3 linked regions of the Caenorhabditis elegans genome follow. The protein of the gene in region 3 interacts with the protein of the main gene of each other region in a pairwise test. Each region holds a gene or a part of one and is shown on either strand. Other genes may lie near its edges. The genes, in order: cash-1, ceh-89 and C38D4.7.

The links.
Region 1: the proteins of C38D4.7 (region 3) and cash-1 interact in a two-hybrid assay, tested with the Caenorhabditis elegans proteins (one large-scale study listed by BioGRID).
Region 2: the proteins of C38D4.7 (region 3) and ceh-89 interact in a two-hybrid assay, tested with the Caenorhabditis elegans proteins (one large-scale study listed by BioGRID).

Annotation. Positions count from the first base shown.
Region 1 is NC_003283.11:10,359,973-10,367,314, reverse strand, and holds cash-1 (Striatin N-terminal domain-containing protein), read right to left. Parts: upstream 5,055-7,342; 5' UTR 4,991-5,054; coding exon 4,934-4,990; intron 4,886-4,933; coding exon 4,778-4,885; intron 4,733-4,777; coding exon 4,546-4,732; intron 4,503-4,545; coding exon 4,324-4,502; intron 4,272-4,323; coding exon 4,219-4,271; intron 4,172-4,218; coding exon 3,733-4,171; intron 3,684-3,732; coding exon 3,338-3,683; intron 2,862-3,337; coding exon 2,314-2,861; intron 2,265-2,313; coding exon 2,136-2,264; 3' UTR 1,381-2,135; downstream 1-1,380. Other genes in the region: putative tubulin polyglutamylase ttll-15, read right to left, coding at 6,071-6,371, 6,422-6,555, 6,606-6,731, 6,843-6,971, 7,018-7,102, 7,179-7,262, 7,309-7,342.
Region 2 is NC_003284.9:14,139,413-14,146,126, reverse strand, and holds ceh-89 (Homeodomain-only protein), read right to left. Parts: upstream 4,182-6,714; coding exon 4,143-4,181; intron 3,993-4,142; coding exon 3,927-3,992; intron 3,881-3,926; coding exon 3,827-3,880; intron 2,755-3,826; coding exon 2,665-2,754; intron 2,622-2,664; coding exon 2,484-2,621; intron 2,428-2,483; coding exon 2,299-2,427; exon of another isoform or gene 2,089-2,298; intron 1,948-2,088; coding exon 1,936-1,947; 3' UTR 1,249-1,935; downstream 1-1,248. Other genes in the region: nkat-1 (Aminotransferase class I/classII large domain-containing protein), read left to right, coding at 6,057-6,118, 6,194-6,504.
Region 3 is NC_003281.10:4,808,712-4,813,820, reverse strand, and holds C38D4.7 (C2H2-type domain-containing protein), read left to right. Parts: upstream 1-2,525; 5' UTR 2,526-2,670; coding exon 2,671-2,712; intron 2,713-2,756; coding exon 2,757-2,942; intron 2,943-2,997; coding exon 2,998-3,407; intron 3,408-3,453; coding exon 3,454-3,508; intron 3,509-3,552; coding exon 3,553-3,699; 3' UTR 3,700-3,790; downstream 3,791-5,109. Other genes in the region: arl-6 (ADP-ribosylation factor-like protein 6), read left to right, coding at 256-331, 382-512.

The sequences.
Region 1 (7,342 bases), on a different chromosome or scaffold from region 3:
GCCTGAGTTTTCACACTTTTAAAACGCGTAATCACTGAGGCTTTGTAGAGTATAAAATCTGTGAAAGTTGATGCGCCAAACTCCGCATTTTATGAAGTAAATTTATGCTATTACGTATCTATGGATAATATTAACGCTACCTACACATACGTCACGCATGGATGTTTCGCCATTTGTAAAACTAAAAAAACTACAAATATTTCAATAAATGTTTGGAACATCGTAAATTATTTCCCAATTCCACGATTTTAAATAGGACGCATTTAAATATGCGAAATGGTCTCGCCACGGGCCACCCATTAACTTTCAAATAATGTTTTAGTTCAGTTAAGTTCAGAAGATGGCTAGCGATTTGAAAAATATTTGCGATTTAAAAAAATATTTTATTTCATTTCTGGTGCTTTTTTTACAAAAATTGGACGGGGACGATAGAAAAACTGTACAAAATGAACGAAACTCCGAAACAACAAGAACATAGAAAATTACAGTACTCCTTCAAGGCGCATACCATTTTGAAATGACGAAAACTTGTCGTGGCGAGACCGGGCACCGTATTTGTGACGAAAAAATCGAGAGATCCAATGAACACTGTGATAATGATTGCAGAAAAGACACAAAATATGTGTTAATAATTATTATTGAAACTTAGGAAAGGTGTAAATTTGTTAATTCAGACACGATATATCAATCCAATCTGTGAATGATCTCATTGATATGTTTTTTTTCTCATTTTCAGAAAAATTAATTCCCATGGAAAACTATTCTGTTTCAATCGTATTTCTTAACAATGAGAATATTCTCAGTTTTTCCTGATTCATTTATTCAATCAAAATCAAGTACATTATGGCTTTATGACGTAATATTCATAAATATTTCTAAAACGAAAACCAAAAGCGAAAAAGTCAAACATAAAATAACTTGGCGACATTTTTTTTCCAACTTCTCTTCAACATAATCCTTAATCAGTTTGATTCTTGAGAACAGAAAACAATTGAATAAAACAATGACACGAGATTTAGTTAGTTAGCATATTTTATTATTCACTTTTTTTCTTTGTCTTTAAAATTTTAGATTGATTTATATCTATTGGGTTCTTCAATTTGGAATCGAGCTTATAGATATACCTTAATCTTCCCATTCAGCGTTTGGTCTGACGTAGAAAATGTTCATTCAGGTCACATAGTTTCCAGCAAAAGTAGATATTGCCATTCCTCATCGACTATTGGATCAATAGATGGTTTTAAATGGTTTTTTTTTTCTGGTTACGGTACTCAATTTATAAAATTCAAGAAATCATTAATTTTCGTTTGATAATTGCCCAATTGCCCAACACTGAAATGGTAGAAGTGAAAAATTCTGTATTCGTGCAAAAAATCAAACTAGAATTCTCAGTAATTTATGATACAGTTCAAGACATAGTTGAAACACTGTCAGTCGACCGAGATAGAAACAAAGAATAACAGATAATAATGGTAAAGAGAGACGAGGATGAAGTAGAGGAAAATGATGAGAACTTACGGTCTGAATTTGGATTCTCGAGGATATCTGGTTATTGATTAAAACTAAGCGTTTTGAGAATGGAAACAATGCCGAGAGAACAAAACATGGCGCAGAAAGGGTATCTAAGAGAAATAGGAACACGAGTCGAAATTTGTGCAGTTTAAAGATGAGCTAATCAATCAATATCCTATAGATTGTTTTAACCCGATTTGTATCGGTGTTGTTTCACATTACTGCCATAGAAAATATAAAAAATTGTTCGCCCAAATAACCACTGCAACCACTTCAGAAGATGGTTAATTTGAGCTAACTGCGACGTAATATTTACAGGATTGCAGATTAGGTTGACAAGTGTCAAAATGCTCATTTTCGACCCGTGATCAAATTTCATATTTAAAAAGAAATCAATCGAGGGAAGGAGGGGACAGATAAATTACGTTTAGATTTGAATAAAAATGGTTGTTGGTTATCTACAATAAAATAAAGGGTACTGTTGTAGTAATAAAAATGAAGGTATGTAGGCGTGGATTTGGGCATGAACTGGGAGACGAACTGGCGAATTCCTATTATACTTTAAGTTAAATTGGCGAAATATGAAAATAGGGAAATAATAATAAAAAAATGAATGGGATACTCTAGTTGCTTCCTGACACGTACACCTTGGCAAGAGAATCGGCACCGGCAGATCCTATAAGAGATCTTGAAGGATGGAAAGCAACGGAGGTAACTGCTGAATCATTCTTTTTCCGGTGGGCAGAAATTTCCTGAAAAATACTACATTTGTACAGTTTCTTAATTTATAAAAAAATATACCTGAAGGCATGAACGTTTCTCCATATTCCACATCCTGATACTACCATCATGACTTCCAGACAAAAGATAAAGACCATTTGGATCAATAGCAAGAGAAGAAACTCCCTCAACATGTGCGATAGCTTCATGAATTATCGATCCGTTGGTGTTGTCAAAGTACCGAATCGTCCGATCTTCACCGCCAATAAGTGTGAGAGGCATTGTTGGATGACTAACAATTTTGTTCATTGTTGGTGAACCTGTAACCGCTCCGAAATCGAACACCATGACAGTGCTTCCAGTATCGATATCAATAATTTGAGCATAGCAATTTGTGTATGCAGCAAGTAAATGTGATGTTTCCGTAGATACAAAATCAACTGATGTCGGAAGTATTCCGGATTTTGGGGCACCAATAGTTCTGATAAGTGGTTCACCATTTCCTGGTTCCCATAGACGAACCGTTGAATCAGAACTGGCAGAAACAAGGCGACTGTTTGATGAATGATAAGCCACCGACCAAATTGCATCCGTATGTCCAGTAAGTGTTTCAGTTAGGACTCGTGGATCTATAATAAATAACATAACCTTAAATTTGAACTAATTATTAAATTAACTTTAGTCTTATTGTTTGGCGAAAATTTAAACTAAAAATAGCGTTGAATCGTTTGAATCTGTATCGCAAAAGGTAACTGATACTTTGATATTTGAACATGTTATCATAATTTGGCGAAATTTTGTTGTTAGCTTAAAGGCACGCATCGTTTTCCGAGTGGGTCTCATAACGATTTCAGTCATAGTGGTAGCTACGAATGATTCACTTTTATTAGAAAATTGATTTTGAGAGAAAACTAAACTTCTAAAATTGCACTGAGAAAGTCCAAATTCTTCATAAAATATTATGCATCTAGTGTCCCGTTTCTGCGAAAGGACGATACTAATTTCAATGCATAATCTTTTTTTTCCAAACGATTTTGCACAAAATGAAGCAAATTGTGATTAATTAGTTTTTGACAGCTCATTTTAATTAAGAAATAAATCTTACCATAAGAATCAAATGGATCCCCGTTTGAAGATGGTACATTGAAACAGCAGATGTTTCCATCGATACCTCCGGTGTAGAGATGATCTCCAGTTGGCGACAGGACTAAGCATAGAACAGGGCCTTTGTGTCCCCGGAATGTATAAACTGGCTCAAGCTCGGTACCACCACTGTTGTGTTTCTCATCTTTCTTTTGATCGAGATTCCATAATTTGATCAGACCGTCTTCCGAAGCAGTAAATAGTACGGGCTCAACTGGATGGAATTGCATCGCGCGAATCGAATCAAGGTGAGATCGTAGAGTAACTTTGATATTCCACTTCACTTGTTGTGCATTCGGATCATCATCCTGAATTTGACAATTATTTTTCTTTTATTTTTAAAACTGAAAAACTCACTTCATCTTTGAACTCGTCCTTAATGTCCATATTATCATTATCTTGCATTCCAAGAGCAACGTCCAACTCATTTCCGTTACCATATCCAAAATTAGCACTACGTCTACCTTGTCGCCGAACTGGAAGTTCTTCTTGTGCAGCGGCATCGATAGCTGATCGAATTCCTGGTGGAACATCAGTCTCTAGATTTTTCTGAACATCGTTGCTTGTTTTCTCTTCGGATTCTTCAGTTGACGTCCTTGAACGCCGCTTCACTTTTGGATCGTCCTTGTATTGTTTTATCAGTTTTTCGAATGAAGCTCCTTTTCCTGCCCAGTCATCGTCAGAACCTTTTTCTTTCGCATCCATATTGTTTAGAAAATCAAACTCTTCAAACGCCTTTGAGGCGTCAGCATCCAAGGCTGCATCATCATGTCCGTCATCGGAATCACTGTAATTACTTAGAACGATTGCTATGTGTTCAAAAAGAAAGTAGTGAATAAGTACCTGTCACTTTTCTCTTTTCTACCATTGAGACGTTCACTGGATGGAAGATCAGCCTGGAAGTTCAAAACAGATTGGTTTTTTTTTCAAACTATTGAATTTTCATACTTGGGGTAATAATCCGAGAAGATTTTTTACACGGAAGGATCGAACATCCATGATGTGCTCGCTGTATCCAATTTCTTCCAGATAACGTTTGAGAAGAAGGCGTCCCTGCCTGAAACTACCTCCAGCTTCACCAGCATCATTTATGTATGCATCAAGGTCGGCCGTCAAATGGCTGTTTTCTGAAATATATATTTTCGATCGGAACGTCTTCATAGAAATTACCGCTTGGCGCTGAATTTTCATTTGGAGATTCTTCCAGTGATGGTGGTTCTTCGCCGTTGTGGGTTAGTCGATAATTTTTGGCACGTTCTTGTTTCAGGCAGAATTCGAGCATTTTGATACGACGGACAAGATCTTGTTTCAAATTTTCTTGACCTTTTCTTTCTCCTTGTAGGAAAGCAATACGAGCCTACAAAAATTTCACATTACAATCGTAGAAAAAATATTTACTCACCTGCATTTCGGCTCTCTCTGCTTCCCACCTAGTTCGATCTAACTCATTTTTTGTCCATTCGTGTTGTATAAAGTGCAAAATACCCGACATTGTATACTGAGGACGAGTCTGTAAAGTTTTCGATTTTTACAGAAGCTGAATTCCAACTCAACTTACCGTTTCGTCCTTTGCTTTGTCATTTTGTGAGTTTGACAATTGACTGGCGTCCTCCATTGTAAACTACTCGAATCCGATCTTATTTCGAGTAATTTACGTTAATGAAGCAAGTGCAAAAGCTGGAAAGAACAGTTGAAAAAAATTACGAAACGTGTATAAGAAGATTTTCAAAAAGTTTAATTGCAATAGAGGACGAGAAGTTTGTGGCAAAATTGAAACTGCTTATTAGGGCTGTAATCAATATAGATGAGCTGATAAAATAAAAGTAGCATCAAGTCGTACGAGACTGATGAAAAACTGATTCGATTAGGTGGACGCAGCCCCGAGGCACGAGGAAGAAAAGGGAAGAGCGAGTAAAACGAGTGCCGTTGTCTGCGTCGCGTGTTCGGCGCGCGTCTTCATATTAACAATGGGGCGCATATTCGTTGCAATTATTGGCGCCTTTTCAAATTTGAAAGGTAGACTTTCTATAAGTACCGTATGCCACTAACAATTAAAAAATACAAATGTGAAATCTATTTTCCATTTGAATTTCAAAATGCTAATATATTAAGTGGCTTAGCAGACTGTATCCGTTAACCAAAAATATGAGAAACTTGAACTTTGCCAACATAAAACCACCAGCTGAAAATCAAATGCATTTACTTGGGTTTTGGATCTTGGAGAAACTTTTATTATATTATTTAATCACCTGCTGATGTAGTTAGAAAAAAGGAATGAGATTTTATTGTCTCAAATTTTATCTAAATTTCACGCGTATTACGTTTCAAGCATATTCAGGTACTTATTTGCATCACATAATATCTTTTTTCATCGAAAAGATTGTTTCAAAAACAAAATTGAAAAACAAAAACGGAATGATTTATTTGAAAATTAAAATTGATTACTTATATCCGATATATTCAATTTATTTTTCAAAAACAGTAAGATAACGTTCAGTTGGTGACCAATTTTTACTGAATAAAATAATGAGATCAAGAGAAACTTTCAAAAAAACTTCAATCTCAAAACCCGCTATGCAAGATTGTCTTAAAAACTCCCAGAAAGTTGCATTTGAAAATTTCTAAGTATTTTTTGAAAAAACCGGGACCGTCATAGTTTTGGCCAATACAATAATAAAATGTACAGCACGCTACTTTAACACCACGTATTATCCAATTGACATTTGGTGCTTAACCATAATGTGAGAAGATGATCTTCTTTTGTTAATGGATGATGATTTTCATAGTCGAACTGAATTCGTTTCATCTGCTTCCTGTTCGAATTTTCCACAAAAGTCTGCTCCAGTATTTTCCTTGTTTCTGTATTCATACAGTGTCCGCATAGCTGGCATTCTGGAGCCTCATCACATGATTCACATTTATTTTCAACACAAAATTTCAGCGGAAGATTGATGTCTCGGGAGTTAACAAGAGGATTTTGTTCGGATGTACGTGATCTAGAACGGGAAATCTAATTTGTGGACAGCTTCAAATGGAATAAACGAACTTGAACAAGATGTCAGCTTCTTTTGTAATTGGTGTTGAAATTCCAGTTAGAGAGAAAATGTTCATTAGAACTTGTTCATAAAGTATTTGATTTTGTTTAAAATGACCTGAAGAGAGATTAGGAGACATATTCGCCTGCAAAGATGTCTTGTAAATTTTAATGATTCTGAAAAATAAATGCATACCTCCATAAGAAAAACGTTCAATTGATCATCGACCACAAAATCAAATCTGCTTAATTCAAAGTATTGTGGATTTAATTTCAAGTTTTGAAGACTCATTAGCATTTTTGTTTGCTGTGTTCGGAAGACCTGAAAAAAGATAATGAAGTTCAGAAAAAGTGTGCAAAATTTTTTGATCGTCTCCTTTGAATATCTAGAAAATATGCATCACAGAGATTAGTTGAGAGTTCTAAATATTACCTCTCCAATAATATTTCTTATCTGCAACCAAATCTTGCTTGTATCCATTCCTTGCATTCCCAAATAAGAATCAATTGTACTCTTGAAGCTCATTTTTTGAGTGTTGAAGTATTTTTTCAATGAATTTATCTGAATATCTTGGGTATATTATTAAAGCTTTTAGAATTTGGTTTACCTCCCAAATAGGTGTATAGTCATCTCCAACAACATATTTATCCACATTATTCGCATCAAATGGATGGTAGTCTTCTGGACAAAATCTAGAATAATTCAATTTTAGAATTTTTTCTGGTTTCCAGAAGCGAATATCAAAAACAAATATTTTTAAACGCTCACCTGATGAGAACATCACCATCGTAAATGTAAACACGTAAAGGCAGAAGAGATGTTACTACTGTATAGATTCCAATATCAAATTTTCTAAAAACGAATTTTCATTATATCACCCAAATTTAATAATTCAAACTTATTATCAATCAGCAATGGATTGTCTACAAATT
Region 2 (6,714 bases), on a different chromosome or scaffold from region 3:
TCCGCCGTTCCGTGCAATTTTAGTAAAAATCTATAATTTTGAAATCTCTAAAATAAAAATGAATTTCAAAAATGTATAATATTTCCTAACGTCTAGTGGAACTACATAGGTAACTTTTTGTCTGGAGTAAAATGGGCATGGTGTTGAAACAGTGAAATATGTGATTTCCTTGTGATATTTGTTGTATGACAACCGTCTTACTTTGAAAAAACCAACGAAGCAAAAAAAGCATGCGGTCGGAAGAAAGTGGTAAACAACTTGCCAAGTGAAAAATGCATCCAAAACCACAAGATGATAAGACAACCGACAAACAAAAAACACAACATAAACTGTAAAATGCCGGTTTTTTAAGTGTCGCAAGACATTAAATAACAAATTTTTGAAGTTTCGCAACTCTCTTTTTCTATATTGTTTACCAGATGTGCAGTTTTTTTTCTTTTATAATAATATGAACTACTAAAAACAAAGAATATACATTTTAGAGATTCCGAAAAAACGACAAAAAAAACCGAAAACGTGGGATTTGATCTCTGAAAATCCACAAACAAGCATGTCAACAACGTCTATTATTCAGTTGTTTTTTGGTGTGTAGTCCTTTATATAGAACAAGGACACCACAAAAACAGAAACGTGCAAAATATAAAAAAAAAGACATATTAATTACTCGTTCTTCTCGCAGTGGACAGATATGAATTTTTATTCGAATATACTGCTATTTTGTATATTTTGTCTGCATTGTTGTTATTAGGCCTGTGGAGTGGGTCGCCCCATTTTTTTTGGGTCGGCCGGGTTGGGGTCGCGTCCCCGACCCATTTTTTGGGTCGGGGTTGCGGCCCCGACCCACTTTTTGGGTCGGGGTCATGTCCCCGACCCATTTTTTTCAAAATTTAACAGAAAGTTATCAAAAACTTGAAAAACTATTTTTTGTCAAAAAACACGTGTAAAAGCTGAAAATTATAAAATTATCGTATTTTCATCAATTAAAAAAACATATCCTATTTTCGATACAAACAAGCATAAGAGTCAACGTTTAAACACGATTTACAACAAAACAAACTTTTTTTTTCAATTTCAGACATTTTCCGAAAATGGGTCGGGGACGCGACCCCGACCCAAAATTGGGTCGCGGGTCGACCCATCTCGACCCATTCAACAGGCCTAGTTGTTATTAGCTTACAGTTTCAATCGGTAGGCACTCAATTTTTGGTATATTTGGAAGCCGATTATCCGAAAATGCACGTAAAAACACGGAATAAACAATTTAAATTAAATAGAAAGTATCAATTAAAAATATTAACAGCGCATTTCAAAAATATTAAAAGTTATTAAAAAATACAACTGAAATGGAATAAAATAACTTGAAAGCAAGACTGATAAAAGTTCACATTTTAGTAAGACAAATAGATAAGGACTGGAAATGTATGTCTCAATTGATATTATTGAGTGCAGGTCCAATAGAGAAATAAATGTAGCATAAGTATTAAAGCAACATCGTTTTGAAAATACTGTAGCTTTGAAATCTCAAACAGGTCGGCAAACCGGAAACATAAAATAAGGAAAATTTAAACAGTTCTCTACAGAGCATGCTTGAGTTCTCGTAAATACTTAACGTGTTTTTGACATGGTGAATATGGGAAATTGATGATTGGAAAGGATCTGTCAACATTTTTTAAAAAATCCTATTTTTCCAAGCAAATATAATAATATGGGTTAATTACAAGTCGTGAAAGGTTAATTAATTCAGATATTATACGATTGTTTTTTTAGATTTGTTAGGTCTGCAAAGAAGGATGGAAAAAGGACCCTTAAAGTAGATGTAAGAGTGGAGTCAGTGAAAATGGGGAACAGACAGATAAATAGTTAATGTGTTATCTTTATTTTAAAATGCTGCTTTTTTGTTGTCAATACAATGGGTGTTTCTTCAACAATTCTTTTTCAGATCGGGTCCTGAAAATAAAAAGTTTAGTTTTGCAGAATATCAAAAAATATAGGGTTTTTCTTCTTACAATTAGTTCATTTTTGTTCAAAGCCATATCCATATTGTCCAAAATAGACAACATATCTCAAGTGAACTTTACAAACATTTACCGTTGTTATTTACCATTCCCTATCAACTTCTCCATCATCATCCCAAGGATAATCGTACGTTTCGAAATCATCCATTTCCACAGTCCCAAATGGCCACCAACCATATACAATTAGTTCAGGCTCTTTAAATGACTGAACGTCTAGTTGCAGTATTCCCCCCGCGACACAGTTCCGATTCCTTGTAGGAATAGCTTCTAGTATTGGATTCACCTGTTCCAGGTCCACTTTCAAATGAGCTCTGCTTCTTTCTCGTTCAGCAGCCCGTTTTTTCTGCTCCTCAGTCACTGGCCTAACAATTCTGAAGTTTGTGCCATTACGCCATTGGAACCAGCGACGAACCTAAACGCGTTAGAGTTTTTTTAAGGAGAATTTTTAAAGTAAAAAAAAAAACTAACTTCTTTTCGAGATAATCCTGTATCTGCCATTATTTCCAAAATTTCATCGTTGTTTGGATTTTTGTTTGCCTCAAAGGCAGGAAGCAATTTGTGTATGATAGCTGGAGCATATTTTTCCGAGTAGTACGCGTTTTGAATCTGTAGCTCAAAATTAAAATTTAGTAGCACAATTTAACGTTACCAAATAATTCTGTGCAGAGTAACATTCGGATAATTCGGATGACGAAGAATCTTCACGTCTTGATCTTTCGATTCCAAGTGTTTGATCTGCCTGAAATTTAGAGTATTTTCAAACGTTTTCTTCAAACATTCTTATTTGAATGTATTAGAATTTAGCTAAATATATAAGCATATGAAACAGTTGAAAAAATGATTCAAGATCAGCAAAAATTATGTGTATCTTAATTTTGATTTTTTTTTATCACAGTGAAATTTATATTCTGGTCTAATTAAACTCGGAATATTTTGAATTATTATATTTGTCATTTTTCTAGTGAGCTGAAACCAATCTTTAACAAATTTTTTTTCTTATTTTGATTGATAACTCAGCGTTTGTTTTAAATTTAAGCACGTTTTTAGTACACAGTAAGTTTTCAGAAAAATAAAATATACTTCAATTAACAAAAATCACATAAAAATCACCTTCCGCCAGCTGCGATACTGTAAAATTGGCAAAATTTAAGATTCTTGTCGCATCGAAGGCGATTCTTAATGTTTGATCCATAATATTCTGACTATTCACATTCCCAGAAAATATTTTATTACCATATTCCCATATTCCCTCGAATTCACATTCCCAGAAAATGTTTTATTACCATATTCCCTTGCTTCCTCACGCCCCTGCTGATCGAATTAAGAGACCATATAAAAGGAGCCGGTCAGTTCCCCAAGAATATACACTATTGTTTCCCCCCTTCTTCTTATTCATAAATAAATATTTGGCCTTATTTCCTTGTCCTACTACCTCCTAGGACAATTCTAGCTATTTTTAAATTTTAATGATTTGAAGCGTTATTAAACATGTTTTTAAGGATTCTTATTTTGAATTTTCAAATTTAAAATTAGAATTATGAATTAGAATGAACAAAAAAAGATGACTTAACATTATGATTTCTTTTGCTTTGAAGCACTTTTTGTTAACGTTTCAACTTACTTCTGGAATTGATACATTCTTAGACTTATCAGAAGACTTCGAACGAGACGAAGATGAAGACGATGAAGATGAAATACGCTTTTTGACTACAGGATTCTGGCTCCTTCTAGTTTGGCGCTTTTGCAAGTTATTATTTAGAAATGATAAATCTTTTAACGGTTTCTATTTTTACAAGAAAGTAAAAACTTACTGAATCCGAATGTGACTTTGTTGTAGCTGGAAGTGATTTCAGTTTGCAAGCTCTCTGCAATTTTTATATTAGTGTGACTATTTTGTGATGCAAATCATACGTTCGGAAGATTCCGTGTTGATTGTTTCTGAGTTTTTGAGTTTTCCGTCTCTCTCCTGACATTTTTCTGAAAATTGTTTGTCTATTGTTTTTACTTAGTTTTAATCCAAATTTGATTAGTTTTTGGCTTAAAATTAGTTCAAGTATCTTTACAACAGAAAATAAAATGTAATGTGTAAAGAAAAATACTTTTTAAAAAATAAAGTTAACAACTTACTGTGCGTGACTTTTTCGAACTTCTTTTTGATGGAGCCATCTGAAAACTAAATAAATAAGTTTTGAAAATGTATAATCTGAAAAGGTTTTTTTTAGTTATTTCTAAGAAAATGCTATTCAATTGTTGGAGAAATGTGGAAATCGCATGCAAATATTTTAGGCTTATAAAAACAAAATGCTACAGAGTCAACTTCGCTCTATCGCACAAGAAGCGGGATGTTAAAAAAACCGCTTTTAAATTGAAACAAAACAGGAAATGTGGGACTTAATGTAAAAAGAGTTAAATCTAGAAGCTAGATAGTGAAAACTAGAAACTAGTTGTGTTATCAAATTGGCCGTATTCTTAAAAGGAAAAAATAAACTTAGAAAATCGATGAAGAGTGCAAGCGCACACTCTCCCAACATTTCTACCCTCTATGTCTCGGTCTCGTACTTTATTCTAATATGCAATCTCCGGTCAAGTGTGTTAGTGAGATGAATGAAAAAATAGGAGAGATATGAGAGCTAACAGATGTTCTTTCAAAACTGACTCCGTTTTGCAAATCAGATTGTGACGCGGGAAAACGCATCAAAAGTGACGCACGCAATGGAGTTGATAGACACTTAGAAAACAAACAAAAACAGTTATCAGAGCCAAGTGCTGGAATATTCACATTTTAGGTAATAAGTAAAACAAGTAATGAATGACAGTGAAATTTAACAGAAACACAAACTAATTGCACAAACTGCCAAATCTGAAAACGCCAAACAGCAGAAGCTCTGCACTCTGAGTTTAATGAAAAAACTGTACTCATATTGTAGTTTTAAATGCTACTACATACATAAGTACAGAACTAGTAAAACACTAATTCTCTCCAAATGGCAAATAATCTTAAAGTACTCTAGATATCTCATAATGATATAACATTCATCTCAAAATTTATTTATTGTTATTCAAATGTGGTCAATTGTCGTTCATTCAAGACACACTTTCACATCGAATTGTTCAATATAAGCTTGGTGATTCTGTAGTTTTTATTATTTAAACGGTACCAAGTTGGGTTTTCTACAATTTTGTTCTTTTGTTCACTTTTCCAGAAGCTATTTGATATTCAGTAAATAGTCTTGCGATCTCTATTAGTCTTGCACTCCTACGGCCCAATTTAAATTTAGTCCAACATGCAAGACTAATAGAGGTCATTCGGTAACTGCATTTCCAAGTCCACATCATTTACTCTACCAAAATCATCAATGAGCATCTGGGTAAGCTGCGTGATGTGGAAATAATTTCTGCTGTCTAGACCGATCATAAAAGCATTGGATTTTTCGACTGCCCCAGACATGGATAGATACACAATAACGAAATATTGTAACAAATGGCGATTGGACAGAAACTAGAAGAACACAGTCTCTGAGGTTGGATGCACTTTTGTGAGTCGGTTTCTTCATATGAAATGGCGCAATCATTTATTTATGAATACTGGTAATAGGCCGTGATTTATCTTTTTATTCTGTAATTTCGTTTTTTTCCATTGTCTATTTTTTGTGTTTTCGGACCATATTACATATTAGGAAATATTTGTAGTTTTGGAAATTTAAAATCATTCATTAAAATTTTTTAAACTGAAGTTAAAAAGGTGTTACCTTGAAGGCTCTTTATAATTTAAACTGTTAAGTTTAATTCACCGTTTGTGACATATTTAGATTACTCGTCTCCTACATTTGTCATGAATGTCATCAAACATAGTTGAAAATGTTTCGGCTTCCAAAACAAATATCACTTAGTGAGAAGCTTTTTGCTCTTCTTCTAACAGACGGTTCATTTTTTTTTCTATACAACTTTTTGCTCTTTATTCGTCTTTATAGAAACATTCTGACGTCGTTTCAAACATTTTTCTTTTCCAGAAACTTTTTTTGCCATTTCAACGAGTGAAACATGTTGACGAATTTTGCGAGACAACCATCTGAAAACGTCGGGGAGCATCAGGAGTCGATTTGGTTAGTTATTCAATATTATGTTGAAAGTTGAATGTAAAAGACCCTGAAGCTCCAACCTAAAGAATATTTTTGCAGGGTAGAGTTCGGAAAACTTGCCATCGAAAATAAGGCGGTGAGCCTTGGCCAAGGATTCCCAGATTCACCAGCACCAAAATTTGTCACTGAGATCTTAAAGGACATCGCTAGTCATCCGGAGAAAATTGAGTCGCATCAGTATACGCGAGCGTTTGGCCATCCAGACTTGGTTGGGATTCTCTCCAAAATTTACTCTTATTTCTACGGTGTGAACGTTAACGCAACCGATGATATCCTGATTACCGTCGGCGCCTACAATGCCCTGTACTATTCATTCCTCGGGTGGATTAGTAAAGGAGACGAAGTTATCAGTGAGTTTATTGTATATAATAATAAGGGTTGGTCTTATAGTTCGTTTAAAAAAGTTTTAATTTGAAAAAAAGAATGCAATATCAGGAAGGCTTTATATTTGCTAACGTTTTTTTTTGCTAATGATTTACAACAATGTAAGGCTCCCAGCTGAGTGAAGCGCGAAATGCCTCGCACTGGCTTCACGCCGACGCCGCGCGCCGCTGTGTGTA
Region 3 (5,109 bases):
AAATCCCAAAAAACATCATAATTAAATCGACTGTTCAAAAATTTTAGAATTTCGAGATTAGAATTTCGACACAATCTAAATCAGATGTTTACTTTCTATCCTCTCCGTACATTTATTAAGTAGAATAGGTGTTCCTGCATACGTGTCTCCCTACTGCCTATGTTTTTTGTACAAAAGTTGCTAGGGTTTTTTGGCAGAAATTTGTATCTGAATAGGTACGTATAAAACATGCAGACGTTTATTTAAACTTTACAGATTCCAATAGTCATTCTTGCCAACAAAATGGACATCCCTGGAGCGATGACTGCTTCGGATATTACGGTAGCTCTAGGTACTCCCACTTTTTCCCTTCCCAACTCTTCGACATATTATGTTTTACAGGCCTAAACCTGTATCGTAGTGGTACCTGGTCGATACACTCAACGTGTGCACTCACTGGAGATGGATTGGACAAGGCTATGCAACAACTTTCAGCTGAAATCACAAAATATATGGAATCAAGGAGAACTTGAGAAATTAAACTGTTTTTTGTAAACAATGCATGTGATCTTGTAAATTCTTGTAGAAAACCTACCAAATTCGTATCAATTGGCAAAGCTGTGTATTTAAAAAATATAATTTAGATTTGGAAACACATATGTTAACTGAAAGAGTAGGACTAGATATGATTTTGTCTAAATACTCTTAAAATGTCCCAAAAATCCAAATATCTAAACATGTTTAAGATTTTTCAACTTTTCCAGTCAACTTTGGCAAATTGCCAATTTTTTTACCAATTTGGACTTTATGAAAAACTTCGGGCAATTTTGTAAATTTGAACAATCACAGCGTTTAAATACATATAATTTAAATATAATTAAAATACAAAACTATTAGAAATCATATTTTCCGGATTTCCAAAATTATGTGCTTTGAAAACTGAGGAATTGCCACTTTTTGTGGACTTTGGAGAAAAAAAAATGTTTTCAATTGTTAAAGATATTTTACCATCAAGATCTGATTTTTCTAACCCCAATTTTATAAATTAAAACAAAAAGAACTGAAAAAAAATCATAAATTTCTAGTCAAAAATTACTCAGTTTTCACTTATCATCATTTTGGACGTTGATCATAAGTTGTATTGTATTGTATTTATTACGATAGAGTTGTTCAACAAATTTGGTAATTTGCCAAAAAATTTGACAAAATAGTCCGAAAAGTTGTTTCAATTAGATACTTGGTTTTTTGTAATATGTTTTAGTTTTAGTATATTTGGTATGAAACTCCTTACAATTGGAGATGATGTTCTTTTTTCCAATGTTCCACATTTTCCTAATAATCCGTTTTATCTTTCCTTGAATACATAAACACATTCTCTTGAAGATCATACTAATTGTTTATATCACAATGTGCTCTTCGTCGGGCTCGCGTCAAAAGATGCGCGAAAAGAAATGCGACACCTCCTCCTCCAACTGGGTCGGCGTTAGGCTTTTTCTTTATTCCTTCCGCATCACGCTCGTAAATCGTGGTATCAAGCTGAGAAGGGCCGTCTTTCTCTGGCTTCGGTATCGGTATCTCATTGCGAAAAAAGCAAAGGATATAAGCACTTAAATTATACAAAAGATTATACATTGTTTGGTGTTTTGCCGCACAGTAATCCGCAGTAAGACAATCCAAGTGGTTGCGCCACCCGTCTGTGAGAAACCAACAAAAAAGTTTCACAAAAGTTTGGAATACCTGGGTTAAATTACATTTTAAAAAGTTTCAGGAAAAAGTACATTCTGCATTTTAGATTTTTTATTTCGTTCATGTTTTGGTAAATTACCAAATATTCCAACAACGTTTTTTTTAGTAATTTAGAGAAATTTAGAATTGAAATATGAATATAAAGTTATTTTTTTGATTCGTTTAAAATTATAGAAAGATGCTTAACAATTTTAGAATATAATCCTCCAAATAATCGGGGAAAATTCTTCAATTGATAACTTTCATACTGTATACTTTCAGAATGCAACATGTTATCTTCAGGCCATTTAAATATTTTTCTATATTTTGAAACTAAATTTTAATTAAAAATATAGGCACAACATTCTGAAATAGGCTATTTTGTAGAAGTGATGCACACACAAACTTTGGCAGATTGTATCTCAGCTGCTATTAGTCTTAATATCAAAAAATGGCAACAAGAAAAATATGTTTTATGTATTTTTCTCTACGACATTGCTGTTGAAAATTTGTTGATATCTTTCAAATGCAGAGAGATATGAGCTTCCCAAAAGAGCAACTACGGCAAAAAATAAAAACTGTATTGTAAAAAATTTTCAAAAATTTGCTTTGAAAATTTTTTTTTGGAAATATATTCAGAATATTCTTTTCAATTTCATTGAAGTTTTCTAATTTTTCCCTTTAAAACAAAATGTTTTTAAAAAACGAAAAAGATGAACTTCCGTATGACCTCACGTGCCTCTTGAAGAGATGGGCGAAGCAACGTGTGCCACGTTTTTCGTCAGAATCGACATTCTCGATTTTAACAGTTCACTTTTTCACCTTTTCCTCTTTCCTTTTCAGCTTTTGATTCGGAATTTTTTTTATTAGAACGTGTTCACGCTATTCTTCTCGTTGGGTCTCGCCACGATCACTGTCGTTTTAGCTGCTAAAAGTGCAAATCTTCACAAAATCATACATTTCAGGATGAGCAAGCCAAGCACTCCAGCTCCAGCCTCTGCTGACCAAGTGAGTTTTTCATTTCATTGTACCTAAAAAATAATCGTTTTCAGAATGGCGATTCCGCCACCCGACAGACTGCCCAGACTACTGAAACTCCCGCGAGTTTGCTTTCTGCTGTGGGAAATGGTGCACCGAATATGGCGGGATTTACCCTCAACCGCGATATGGTCCCATTCTTCCCCTACCAACTCCAAAATCCGATGCTCCAACCACCACAAAACTCTTTGGAAAATGCGGTTAGTACATTGACTTTTACAATTGAGCCATTACTGAAATGGAATTATTTTTCAGATTGTGCACTCACTGGGTACTCTGGCTGCTCAGTCATCCATGTTTGGGCAGTTGTGTGAGAAGATGCTAAAAGCCCAAGAAGAAGCTCGCGCCGATCAACGATCCATTCGCGAAGAGCATCGAGCTGAAAGAGAGAAGGCCGACGAGCGGAGCCAGCAAAATATGGATAAGATGATGGCACTTGTCCATTCTCTCGTGGAACGTGTCGATAGGAGCCACGCTTCGTCATATGATGTGGTTGGTCAAAAGAATCCATCGTCCAGCTCCCTCAAACCAGCGAAAAGAGTCAAGTCTGCCGTTGTTCGTCAATCCAATTTAGCCAAGCGGACCGGAGCACCTGTTGATGCTGCAAAGGAGTTGAAAAAGATTCGAGATGAGGAAAACAGAAACCATGGACGATCTGCTGAAAGGTAATTCTAGTTGTGTTTTTTTTTTCAATTTAAATGAGAGTTTCAGAGATAATGTGTTCATCGGTGCAGTGCTGGTGGGGAAAGGATCTCAGTACGATAAGGTAAGCCTGAAAATTATAAAAAATTAGTTGAAGTTGTTTTTCAGGATCTTGAAAAATTCAAGAGCTTCCGATGCAGGACCTGCAATGAAGTTTCCCAGACGAAGGAGCAGCTCGTGGATCACTTTTCAAACAACCACGCCGGCGAACTTGGGGCGAGAAGGTCACTGCGAATAAAGCAGACCTCGTGTTAAATTTCTTTTTTAATTTATATTCGTTTTTGTTTTAAAATTTAAGCTTTTTTGATACAAATAAATTTTATAGTAAATAAATCTTGTTTCTCCTACCAGCTATCTAACTATTCCCAACAGTGGGTGGCAATAAATACGAGACGCGGCTCTTCTCACGGCGGTATCATAGATGCACAAAGAGCAAAACGATTACGCAACAGACAGCCGGGTCATATTCAGGTCAAACTTGATAGTGCATGAAATCGAGTAGTAAGCGACTCTTTGATATTTTCAGATGCTCCATTTGTTGTTCTTCATGACAGCTGCAGAGTTCCCAGATCGTAAATGTTTAATGTTCTGAAAGAAGGTACATAATCAGTCAAAGGGCGGTCTCATTGTTGCCTTTTATATCAAATCTTTGGAGGACAAATTGTCGATTTCAGCAACATTTTTTGTTAAGAATCTCCAACTTTTAGAATAACTATTTAATAGATCACTCGTTTCTGATAAGAGAAATAATTCTCTGCTACCGTAATCTTTGCTCCACATGAACCTGTCAGTCATAAATGCTCATTCGTATCGTACTCAATTAAACTTTCATCGCTCATTTATTTCCTAATGAACATCGTAATGGAACCTCAATTCCAGATGGGCTCAATGGCCGGTAGACTTACTATTATTTGGGCGAGTAGATCAAATATGAGGTGAGTGATCTATTTTTCAAATTATTTTAAAGGCGGGATCTCATTGAAATTAAATTTAGTGGCTAAAATTCTTCTTTTCTTAATTTTTGGCTAGATGATTTTTTCTAATCTTTTTCAAAATTTTATAATTTTTAAAATATTTATTTAAATAAAAAGATATTTAACAGCAAGTTAACTATTGAACAATAAATTAAATAAAAATCTTCGTAAATCGACAAGTGGAAAGTGCGCTCTATTGAGCTGATCAGTCAGTAAAAATTTTTCAGTGTTAATTTTTTTCTGTTCTTCATTTCTGTTGAGTTTTAACGTTTCTTTTATATTTGTCTTGCTAATTTCAATGCTAAAAATCAATTCTAAAAACGCATATTTTATTAAAGTAAGAAAATCCATCTTCGAATACAGTCTCGGACAGTTTCCTGCACAGACCAATAATTTATTTCCCAACGAACTGGGCGTTTTTGTTTCCTTGCCGACCTGTCTCATTGTAAAAGTGATATGTTTGTCTGAAAATCGACGTGTGGCTATAAATCATTCACAATTCCCTCTCCCGTTCATATCTGATAAATCCCGCCTTCCCAAGTGCTCAATGAGCCGCAGGAGGCGGTGCCGGGTTGCCAGCTCGTTATTTTATTGCTATTCTCATCAAATCTCGAAAATCTTCCTTCAAATTTTGAATTTTTATTACTGTTCACTTTTCTCTATATAAACTGATAATTACTTCCTCGTTTTC